Linked DNA regions of Cricetulus griseus. The protein of the gene in region 1 purifies or fractionates together with the protein of each later gene. This does not show direct contact. Links are inferred from orthologs where the notes say so. Each region holds a gene or a part of one and is shown in the gene's direction. Other genes may lie near its edges. The genes, in order: Arhgef26, Lin7c and Cask.

Region 1 (4,073 bases):
TTGTATTTTGTTTACTTTTACTGTGTAACTTTCAAACACACAAAGTCCAAAGATTACGAAATCAATTCCACCTGGCCTCAGAGCCAGTTTCCCTCTGAGTGCACACAAGTAAATCCGTCTATAGTCCACATGGCACTGTTAAGTAGGGGAGTGAGGCTCAATTTGAAGATCGCTAGGGGCCCAGCAGTACCCTCCGAAGTGGTTCACCTTTCCAAGAGTAGCGCCACGCTCCGACGTGATTTAATAACCATTCCAACCTCCTCCTCCCGGGCTCGGAGACCAGAAAGTACACCGTGGCAAAGCTCGCTCTCTCGATCCTTCCCACGCTGTGCTCCGTGCCGCGCCCGCGCCCTCCAGCTGGCCCCTGCGGCGGCCGCCTGCGCTCCTGCAACCCCGTACTTGCGTCTACGCACCCGGCTCAGGTGTGCGCGTCCTCTAGGCAGAGAGGTGAAGGCGGGGAGGTGGGTGGCAAGAGGGAACGATTCGCGGACTCCTCTCCGCAAGATTCCCGGGCGTACAGGGGGCGGGGCCAAGAGGGGCTGGCCCCAGCGTGGGGGCGGAGCCGGCGCCGCGGGCCGCTGCTGCGCCGTGCCGAGCTCTTTCCCCCGCGCTTTGGTGCGGACCCGGGCCACCCACGGGGCCGGGAGCATTCTTTGGTCTGCGCTCTGGACACCCGGAAGGGTGAGCGCGCCGTGAGCCGCGCAGCGGGGGCCCGGTAGAGTGGCGCGGAGCGGGCGGCTGGATGGAGGCACCGGGAAGCGTCCCGCGGCGAGCTGTGGGAGCCAGCTGAACTCTTCCCAAGTGTCCTGCGGGTCGGCTACCCTCTGTGAGTGGGTGGCAGGCTTTGTAGGGTACCGGCGGGCTTTGGGCGCGGGAAGGACGCAGGAAGGACCGGATTCAACCTATCGGCAGCAGCTCGGATCTCTGCCCGCGGTCGCGCAGTGTGGCGGGAGGCGCTGTGCCCGAGAAAGGGCGGGTAAGTGCGGCGCTGCCGAGTCCCGCGCGACACCCGTGTGACTGCCAAGCTGGGAGCCGGCTGGGCTCCCAGACGAGACCAGTTGTCCGGAGCCAAAGTTCCTTCCTCTTAGGCAACCTGAGCAGCTCTCCTTCTCCCGGGGCCGGCCCCAAGGCCCCGCCATGGACAGCGAAAGCGAGGTGGATTTTTCCAGCAACGGCGTCACCCCTTTGTGGCGGAGACGGTCCACCCCTCCTCTCCAGCTACTTGGCCGGAGCAAGCCTCGGCCACAGTCCTACCAGAGCCCCAGCGGACTGTTGATAACCGACTTCCCGGTGGAGGAACTGGCGGCTCTGCCCGTGCCGCAGACTCCCTCCCGTGTGTCCGCCGCCCCGGACGGCAGGATGGTTTCCAGGAGCCCCCAGCTTCTGTGCCCGCATCGGAGGCCGGTGACCAATGGTCGCTCGGTGTCCCCGGACTATAGAGCTGCTTCTCCTCGACTTCGACGACCCAAGTCACCCCTAGTTCTTCACGCGGCGTCGGGCGGCTCCCCGAAGCCCTCCGCTAATGGCACGGTGGCCTCGTCCGCGGCGCTGTTGGGCGCATCTCGGACTCCCGACGCTCCTGACCCGGAGGAGGATCGCACCGTCGTAACTGCCAGTAAGGTATCTTCTCCCATTGCCAATGGCCTTGTCCCTAAAAACGACTCACCTGGCTCAGCTTCACTAACTGGTCAGACGGCTAGGGACTTGGAGCCCGGGTCCTCGAGACTCTCCCCTGCACCCCAGCACAGGTCTTCAGAACAAAAACTGCCGCTCCAAAGGTTGCCCTCCCAAGGGAATGAGCTCCCGAACCCTTCCGTGGTTTTGAGTACCAACAGCCCCGCCGCCCTCAAGATGGGAAAGCAACAGATAATCCCGAAAAGCCTTGCCTCGGAAATTAAGCTGAGTAAATCCAATAGTCAAAATGTAGAGCCCCACAGGAGGCTCCTCAAGGTGCGCAGCATGGTGGAGGGACTGGGAGCACCCCTGGGCCACGAAGGGGAGGAAGGCGAAGTCGACAACGACTTGGACAGCCCGGGCTCTCTGCGGCGAGGCTTGCGGTCCACTTCTTACCGAAGGGCAGTGGTCAGCGGCTTTGACTTTGACAGCCCCACTAGCTCAAAGAAGAAGAACAGAATGTCCCAGCCTGTTCTGAAGGCAGTGATGGAAGACAAGGAGAAGTTCTCTAGCCTGGGAAGGATAAAGGTAGGACTGGGCAGACTCACTTGCCTTCATTAAACTCAAAGTGAACGTGTTTGGGACAAGTGTTGAATGATCATGGCACTTTTGACAACATTCTAGTAAAATGAGTTTAAATCAGTACCCAAGCCCTGGAACAGTACTCTGACTTCTGTTGTTTTGTTTTAGTCACCATGTTCCTTGTTTATAGCTGATTACTATTAATCATTGAGTGTATTTGACAGACTAGTAGCTTAGAACTTGAGTGAGGGTATGAGGTGATATATGCTGATAAAGGCCTAGCAGTTGCACTTATTGAATATTTTTTTCCATTTCGACCTAAAGGAAAAAAGACAACTAGACAGGGGTATTTTGGAGTAGGTGCCACTTTCTTAGACACAAGACATATCTAAGCATAGGGCAAAGCCTGCCTTTGGCAGTCACAATTTTTTTTTTGATTAATCAGAGAACTGGAACAAGTCTATATAAATGTCAAATATGCAATACACAAACAAACCTGTTTCATTTTAGACATATGGTCTTAAAGAAAAGACATAACATAACATTTTATGTACACCCCCCCCCCACACACACACACACTGACACAGCTGTCAAGGATAGCAAAGTTCAGTTTCACAGTGAGAGTGAATCAGGTAGTGAACTGTGTGGAAATGCTGGTCATTTGAGGATTCTTAGTCTGGTTTAAGGGCATGTGGGGGGTGCTGTGCATTTTATTTGACTGTTTGTGAATTGGCATGGGGATTCTCTGCGGTGTGCTTTTGGGAATCTGAGGGATATAACAAAAGGGCACGTTTACTTACAGGCTCATTCATACATAGTTTGCTTTTCTCCCCCCCCCTTTTTTTTTTTTTTGCTTTCCTCTTCTCTTAGAAAAAAATGCTGAAAGGACAAGGTACATTTGATGGGGAAGGTAAGCATTTAATTTTCCAGTTTTCCAATAAAACTGAAATTTATTGCAATTTCAATGTGACACATCAATTATAAGTTCAAAACTAACTGAAGTAACAAAGACACTTGAGATGAAAACACAGAATTGCCCAACTTTGTCTTGGACTCTACAGTGCAAAGCTGTGTTCACTAAGCTAAGGTTTTTACTCATGAGGGAGCATTTTTATAAGCTGATAACTTTTTCAGTTTACATCTTGGGAGCTTCATTCTTCTTTCTTCTTTGCCCTGGCTCCGTCCCCAGCTGCAGAGCAAGCTCTGGCTCTTTAATTGACACTTGGATCTTATGTGGTTTTTCCTTAGGCCACATTTTTTTTCTTCCTTAATATTATTTTCACCATATTTCCACCTTTGATTTTCACTTGTGACTTCCTGTTTTCCTACTAAGTTTCTCCTTTGGGGAAATGCAGCTTTTCTGGTGGAAAAAACAACAATCTTGAGAATTTGTGACTTGTATATTATTTGTTGTTAAGGATTTCAAAAGCACAAGCAGACTCAGCCAGGTGTTCACATGCTAATCAGATTAGTAGACTCTGTAAATAGATGGGTCAGGTGTCAGCCAACTGGAGCAGCATGAAGGGGCAGTCTCAGGCCTTCCCCTGAGACTCCTGGGGACAGTGAGTGGATTTACTTTCATGCTTTTACCTTTATGTAAAAGCATGAAAGCTTTCTACCTTTATGTGAAAATGAAGGAAAGTATGCCCCACTGTAAGAAAAGCTAAAGGAAAGCCATGTAGATTTAATATTTAATTTGGGTGATTGTAAAATAGTTCCTGCATAACTGCAAATGGGTAATCAATGAAGTCATTGTACTAATTGTAGAAAGTTTTGGAGAAGAAACCCAGATACAGTATTTTGGCTAATTGGGATAAATTCGTCTCCTTGATTTTATAAGTGCAGAAATCAGAAGCTCTGAGAATACTAGTAACTGG
Region 2 (3,646 bases), on another chromosome or scaffold:
TTCCCCTCTTAGTATCTACACATCTGCAAGTCTTCTTGACCAGCCCTGTGCACATGTAGCACATATTTCTGAAGTTTACTTCCTACATCATCTCTGAGTATTTATCATCGTCATTTATCTTCTGCAAACATGTTTGACTTACAGTAAAGTTGTGAGAGCTCACAAATGAAAAGCTTTGTGGTTCAGAAGTGCCTTTGGCAAGCTAGAGATCACATTCTTAGCATATCTGAGTCCCTGGGTTCAAACCCCAGCTCCTCAAAAATAAGTTGTGTTCTTAGATGTGTGCATTTCTTTTCCAGGCTACTGTTGCTGCTTTTGCTGCCAGTGAAGGGCACTCCCATCCCCGAGTTGTTGAGTTACCCAAAACAGAAGAGGGCCTTGGATTCAATATCATGGGAGGCAAAGAACAAAACTCACCAATCTATATCTCACGGATAATTCCAGGTGGAATTGCTGACAGACATGGGGGTCTCAAACGAGGAGATCAGCTACTTTCTGTTAACGGAGTGGTAAAGATAAATCTGTTTACATTTGTTATATGCAGTAATGTGTTGTAGCCACTTGGGGGTGCACTGGAGCAATCGAATCAGAAAATGAAAGGGGAAAAACTTCTGAGACTGAGTTGAAATCCCTTGAGAGAAACCCAAGTGGTACTGCTCAGTACAGTGTTGTGTGGTTGTTTTGATTTGCTGGTGATAGTGGAGGTTGTTGTTGGGCTGAACACCAAACTCAGAATGCCAGGCTACCACTTGACCACTGAATTGCATCCCCAGCCCAGTACTTTAAGTGCGGCTGTAGATTAGCTTTCACAGACTGAATTGACAGCTGGGGAACCTGCATGGGACTGAACTAGACCCTCTGAATGTGGGTGACAGTTAATGTGGCATGATCTGTTTCGGGACTAGCCCTAGCAGTGGAACCAGGACCTATCCCAGGTGCATTAACTGGCTTTTTGGAACTCGTTCCTTATGGTGGGATAACAGGGAGGGGCTTGGTCCTTCCTCAACTTGGTCTGCACAGACTTTGTTGACTCCCCAAGGAAGGCCTTACCCTCTGAGGAGTTGATGAGGGGAAGAGCCGGAGAAGGGGAGGGAGGGAGAACTGGAGTTAGTATTTAAAATGAAAAACAAATTTAAAAAAAAAAAAAAAAAAAGGTGTGGCTGTAGAGCACTCCAGGGTATATCAGCAGTGCTCGGAGGAGCTAAAACTGTATAAATTAGAAATAAACCCGCATTTTACTCGTGAGGAATGGCAGTTACTTGATCTACTGCTGACCTAAGGTGTGTGTATATTCCTAGAATATGCACAAATGTGTATCATAGGATTTCAGATTAAAGTGATAAAATAAGATTGTTATTTTTATAGTGCTGAAATGATGTAACATTTAAAATTTTTACTTGTGTTTTAAACATTTTTACAGGTTGGATTACTTGTTAACTGTTTCTTTGTGTGTGTGCATTTTTTCAGAGTGTTGAAGGAGAGCATCATGAAAAAGCTGTAGAGCTACTGAAAGCAGCCCAAGGGAAGGTTAAATTAGTTGTACGGTATACACCAAAAGTCCTGGAAGAAATGGAATCACGCTTTGAAAAAATGAGATCAGCAAAACGCAGACAACAGACCTAATCATTTAAAAACTTTATGTTCCTCTTTGCTTTTAGCTAGAAAAGTTTTACTTGTGACCTACTGATGGCCTCGATGCCAGTGATTGTAAACCACCAGAAACTTCCGTGAAATCTTCTTGCCATTTTATAAATGCCTATTTTAGCATCACTTACGGTTGTAGAGAAGCATACACTTTTTTTCTCACGAGAAAAAGTAAAAGGTGATGAGGGCAGTTCTGTCCTGCTGTTTTTACAGGCCTTTTTCAAATGCAGATTTTGTCACAAAGTTGTTATAGATTTTTAAAAATGCTTTTTTAATATTAAAATGTACTTTTACATTCTTAATCTTTTTTTAAAAAGAGCTTTTCATCATTTGGCAACTTATTTACAAATAACAGTTCTCCAATATTTCCTTTTGCTTACTGCAATTTCTTTGTGAAATTTCTTTTCAATTTTCCAAAATATTAAAACTAGCAGTCTTTCCTTCAGCAGTTTATCACATTGAATGTTGGCATTGCTGCTGCATTTTGTACTTAGAACATACATAAATGTATCTGTAATCAGTGGTAAATCATTGCTATCATGGAACCTTTTTATCTTTATTTAAACAGTGTATAATGTATTCATTTATACTGATTTGTAAAAGTAAGTTTTTAAACACTGAAGCAATCATTGCTAAATAGGTATTCTTTCATAATATTTAAGCAGTGAATCAAGAGGATGTAATTTGATTATTAACATTACTGATTAAATCCCTTATTTATGTCATAAATTATAAATGCAAACAAGCTCAGATTTCAACTTTTCAAATTTGTTAGGCTATTCATTTATATTTAAATATATTTCTCATATTTCAGTTCTTCCATGCCTAGAGATGAGGTAGTTTGTGCTGAGAAAAATGAAAATAAGACAAAGTAATAACTTAAATGTGGAGCCTGAAGAGCCCAACATAATTAGTGTTCAGCTTCAGTTCTAATTCGAGACAGGAAGAGGAGGCAGGATTTGTTTAAGATACAGAAACAGGCAGCTTCTTAAGTCTCACAATGAGTGGGGTTCAGAATGCTTCTTATCTTTATGATTCAGATAGCGATGAGAGTCTGAACAATGCTTTTTACCATTTGTCCACTGGATGTCACTATTTTACTAAAAGGCAGCTATCGATGTGTGATTATGACTAAGTCTTATAAAAGCTGAAATCAAAGTTGATTCATTTTCAGTCACAGATTATAAGAACATTTATAAAAGGTTGAGGTGATGATGTTAAAAAACTGATGGGTTGAAATGCAGGAAATTATCATAATTATGACTTTATTACCTTTATTTTTTTAAAAAAAAAATGGGCATTTTGTAACATTCCTTCAGGAAGAATGGAAGTGTGTACACGGCTTTGCATGTTTGTGAGCACTGTCAGTCTTACAAAATATCTGTAGCTTTCAGTGGTTTTCAGAGTAAAAGTCAGCATTGTTATTTATCATTTAGGAATTGAACACTGGATTGTGCATGGTTGAATGTCTTTAGTCCACTACAAAATGTGCTTGATATTGATAGCATCATGTTGAATTGTATATTTTCAAAATTAGCTGATGTGTTTTTAAAATGTTGAGACCAAAGTAGTATAGAAGAGTATGACATATTTTAATTTAATTGTAAGATTATTAGAGGTATTTGTAAAACTCTATATATTAAAGTTGGTGCATATAGAACAGTAATATTATTGTTGTGCTCGTATCCCTACATCACAGGGCAAGTACACCCTGGGGTCTTGTCTCAGCCTAGCTACTATGGCTACAGTTGCTCCTCAGTACACATCAGCGTTCCGTTACAATTACAGCCTCCTGGTTCATGTTTCAGCGATTGCAGAATTTCAGCCAAGTTACATTTTTTTTTCTTTTTTTAGTTTGTTGAGTAAGCTTTTTCTTCTGCAGTAATTCACAATCTGTTCTTTGTGTGGGCTGCTACCTATTTATAATTCGTAAAATAAAAGTAACTTAAAGGAGCCAAATACATAGCTTTGCTTGGTACTATTGAGCATGAGTAGAAATAGC
Region 3 (4,132 bases), on another chromosome or scaffold:
TAGTTTGTCTAGCAGGAATAGGCACACTGCATAGATATTTGGTGAGTTTGGGGCAGGAGGCAGGAGAAGCTGTTTCTCGAGTTCCCTGTTCGTTCTTGCACACCTTCCTCTGCAGTTTTTGTTTGGTCCTTTCCTTGGACAATTCTCCCCCTCCCCCACCCTCATCTTCATTAAGGAATGGCAGGGTGCCACTAAAAGCATCCGCCGCCAAGTGCCGTCCTGAGTGACAGTCTCTCTCCACCTCCTCTCTGGCTTTTCCATTCATTAGAACCCTTTCCCTGCGTTTTTTTTTTCCCAGCCCCAAACTGGGAAAGGCTTCCTGAGGTTACGAAAGAACGGGGAAAGCTGCCAAAGTGCTGAGCATGCTGTCCCAAAACGTGCATACTGCTGTGGACCCTTTGTCCCCAGCCCCCTTTCTCCACTTGGTCGCAGCTTGAGAATAGAGGCGACGACCTCCACCAGCCCCACCTCAGTAGCCGCAACCCGCGGAGCTCCGCCAGCCGACCCCCAGCGCCCTCTAGATTCCCCGCGCTTGCCGGTTCTCCGTGACGTTCCGGGCGCTGCGCGCATGCGCCACGGGGAGCGCTTTCCTCGCGCCCCCCCCCGCCTCCCCCCGTCCCCCGCCTCTTTCCGCGGTCCCCGCCTCCCAAAGGGCTGGAGTGGGCGGGGCCTGCGCTCCAGCAGCCGCGCGGGCCGAAAGGGAGGAGGCTTAGTGTGCGCGAGGCGGGTGCTCGGGGCTGGCAAGCCAGGCGGCAGCTGAAGCTTAGGGGAGGAGCTGAAGGCAGCGGTCGCCGCTCCCGCCCGCACTGAACACTCATCCCGCGAAGCCCCCTCCCACACTTGGGCGGGCGGCGGCGGCGGGAGGAGGAGGAGAAGGAGGAGGGAGCGTCTCTGCCGCCGCCTCCTGGTCCCCAGCGCCGATCAGCCGCCACCACCTCCCTTCGCGACGATCCTCCTTCCATGGTGCTGTCGCGGCCCCCCCTGTAGTCCGAGCTGCCCCGCGCCGCGCCGGAGTCGGTCTCGGGCAGAGGGAGCGGTCGCGGCCTCGCGGCCCGCGCGGGCTGACGAGCAGAGAGTGCGGCGCCTCGCGGGTCCCCGAGGGTCCGCACGCCCGGCAGCGCGGCGGCGAGCGACAGCGCCAAGAGCAGCGGGCGGGCGGGCGGCGCCGGGGCCCGGGCCGCCCTCGCTCCCACGCCCCGGCCCCGCCGCCCGCGCCGGGGCGGCAGCCGGCAGAGGAAAGGCGCTGCAGTCTCCGGGCCTCGCGGCCCCAGTTGAGCTTCCTCGGCACTGAGGGCTTGCGGGTCCGGTGGGGAGGACGCGAGCCCGGAACCCGGGCACTGAGCTCTTGGGCGCCCCCAACCCAGTTTTCAGAACCCTCCACGCTGCGGCCACTGTCCCCTTCGGACCATGGCCGACGACGACGTGCTGTTCGAGGATGTGTACGAGCTGTGCGAGGTGATCGGCAAGTGAGTCTCCACGCGAGGGAGCGGGAATGTGGAAAAATGCATTTCAGCGATGCCCGGGGCCTCCCGCACCCGCTCCGGGCCTGCCCCCTGCCCTCTTTCCCTCCCCTCTGCCTCCCTCGTCCTCTTCACCCTGGAGTATTTATAGACGTGTACCTGGATCTCCTGCCAGGAGAGGGTCTGGGGGCTTCTCAACGACCCGTGGAGGCCAACGAGCCCGGGTCGGCCACCCCATAAGGCGTGGGGCGGGCTCCCTGCATTTTATCTGACGGTTACACAGGGACGTGGCAGGACCGATTTTATAGTTGCTTCCTGGGAACAGTTGGGGTTATTGTTACCTTTCCTGTACCATAGACCTTTTCACGAAAAGAGCAGCCTGCATTTCGTGTGCGTGTGTGGAGAGAGCGAGGAGCGCGTCCAGGGTTTTTAATTGTGGGGTGTGTGTCTATTGTGCCAGGATATTAGACAGATGCCTTTGTGTTCACCCCGTGCCCGGATTTAAGAGGGTCATTGAAGACGGGTGCGTCCAGTTTCAGCAAATTCTTCACCTGCCTTAGACGAACGTAGAAAGAGTTAGGGGCACCCAAATTTTTAATGCCTCGTTATGCAATGACTGTACAATCAGTGCTCGAGGCTCCCTTCCACTGTTGTTGGGATGGTGGTTAGCGTGGTAGAGCCGTCTGCTTTGAGTCACCGGGCTGGTCTAGAATATAGAACTGACAGTCCAAATGCTCATCCTTTCATCTGTGTTGTATAATTACACTAGGGAAAAGAAGGGAATCAGATTAATCACAGTACTGATTGAGAATTAAATCTGCAGTTCCTCATCTAATTGTCCGGTCCTGAAATCTGTTTTGAATTGTTTCCTTTTCATTCTTGTCAAACAATATTCCAAGTGCACAATCCTGCTAATTTGCTTGTGAGGGAAATGCTGGCAATCTGAAGTTGATTTCCTAGCTCAGCGTGTATTCTGTGGCTTTGGAAGTTGAGATGAGATTTAAGAGCGATTTTTGCTTATTTAATAGGGCTCGTTAGATAGCTAGTATTGAAATATTTTCCCTCTTTTTGGAAGCGGTGCTTTATTGTCTATTTTAAGGTTCACAGTTGGGAAATGAAACCAAGACAGAGCAGTTGGCTCTACCTCTTTTAAGTTGTCTGCAGTATACTCAGTTTCAATTTTTTGAGTACTGATAACTCATTTTTTCCTCCATATTGAGGTATTACATTGCTGCTCACATGGTGAAATTGTGGGTAGAGCTTGCTACACTCTTTTCTTAGACCCAAATGCTTCGAGGACGCATTACTCCTTGCCCCATTGTTCAATGACCAGCCTGTCTGTTAGGAGGAAGATGTCCAAATGTGTCTGATAGAGTCGTGGTTGTGCCCTAGAGCAGCGCTGCCCAAAGCTATTTAATGAGAGCCACGTGTAATTTATAATTTTCTAGTAGCCACATTAGAAAGATTTAAAACAAAAAGGTACAATTAATTTTAATAAAATATTTATTTAATATATTACATCTGAATTAGTGATTTCAGCATGAATTTTTTGCAATACTGTGCATCTTTTCATACTAAGCCATTTAAATCCTATGTGTGTTTTATACTAACAGCACATCTCGATTTTGACGCTAAGCTAAATTTTCACCAGAAGTACTTGATCTGTATTTAGGTCTCATAAAATTTGCATGTGCAAAAGTAGATTCACATACTCAAGTTGTTCCAAACATACATAAAAGTTTTCCAGTAACGGAATTTGCTATTTCTAAATTTTAATCAATTAAGCAGAATGCAAAATTTACTGCCTCAGTTGGATTAGCCACATTTCAAGTGCTTAATAGCCACAGTCGACTACCACATTTCTAGAGAAAAATATAAAAAAATCTCCTTCACTTCTTCATTGTTGAGAGCACACAAAGAAGGTAAATTAGATGTTTCTCAAAACCACCCAAATGACCAGGTGTGAGTGAGTGATGTTTGTTGTATCTTAGTTATGGCTGTTGTAAGTGAGCCTGCAGTTGGAAAATGTGGGATTACGATGCTTTCATATATTATGATGTTGGAAAATAGCCATAACTGAATCAATAATGGTGACTGCTTCTGATTCCTTCAGGTCTAAAAGGATGACAGTGTGATCCCCTTGGATTTTGGAAAGTGGTCAGTCTCATGTTAGCAGTCTTTTTGCACTGACTTAAATTTGATAATATATTTTCAGAAGACACCCCTGGTAGAATTAAGTTTATCTATTCTGTTGTTTTGCAGCTACATAAGGAGGAAGAAAGAACGAGCTAATTTTGAGATGCTAGGTAGTCAGTGGCTGCCTGCACTTCTGTGAACTGTGAAATTTCATTCCTAGTCTACAAAATCTGACTTGGTGTCATTTATAAAATGCCATTTCTTGAAATAATGAATCCAAGATAGTCTCAGTGTTAAAGAATGTAATAATGGTGTTTTCCAGCCTGTGCAAAGGTTGAAGGTTTCTCCAGTAAATTGTGTCAGTATATATTGATCCTGAAACTGAAATTCGTTTGAGATATTTTTTTTTTTTGCAGGGACCTAGACAGCATACATTTAAACTAAGAATTTGTTCAGTTATGAGCTTAAACAGAAAGGCCTTGCAGATCATCATTCCTCCTGAAAATCTTTTTGTTGATTTCTATCCAGACTCTACA

Evidence for each region.
Region 2: the proteins of Arhgef26 (region 1) and Lin7c purify together in Homo sapiens (affinity purification with mass spectrometry; 3 studies listed by BioGRID and IntAct, counting the BioPlex papers as one, with this or other methods). This does not show direct contact. The link is inferred for Cricetulus griseus from reciprocal best matches to the Homo sapiens genes ARHGEF26 and LIN7C.
Region 3: the proteins of Arhgef26 (region 1) and Cask purify together in Homo sapiens (affinity purification with mass spectrometry; 3 studies listed by BioGRID and IntAct, with this or other methods). This does not show direct contact. The link is inferred for Cricetulus griseus from reciprocal best matches to the Homo sapiens genes ARHGEF26 and CASK.

Annotation. Positions count from the first base shown.
Region 1 is NW_023276806.1:89,775,740-89,779,812, reverse strand, and holds the start of Arhgef26 (rho guanine nucleotide exchange factor 26), read left to right. Parts: upstream 1-1,137; coding exon 1,138-2,202; intron 2,203-3,066; coding exon 3,067-3,106; intron 3,107-4,073. UniProt on the Homo sapiens protein: Activates RhoG GTPase by promoting the exchange of GDP by GTP. Required for the formation of membrane ruffles during macropinocytosis. Required for the formation of cup-like structures during trans-endothelial migration of leukocytes.
Region 2 is NC_048599.1:68,121,414-68,125,059, reverse strand, and holds part of Lin7c (protein lin-7 homolog C), read left to right. Parts: intron 1-299; coding exon 300-509; intron 510-1,467; coding exon 1,468-1,623; 3' UTR 1,624-3,646. UniProt on the Homo sapiens protein: Plays a role in establishing and maintaining the asymmetric distribution of channels and receptors at the plasma membrane of polarized cells.
Region 3 is NC_048604.1:119,409,683-119,413,814, reverse strand, and holds the start of Cask (peripheral plasma membrane protein CASK), read left to right. Parts: upstream 1-1,273; 5' UTR 1,274-1,407; coding exon 1,408-1,466; intron 1,467-4,132. UniProt on the Homo sapiens protein: Multidomain scaffolding Mg(2+)-independent protein kinase that catalyzes the phosphotransfer from ATP to proteins such as NRXN1, and plays a role in synaptic transmembrane protein anchoring and ion channel trafficking.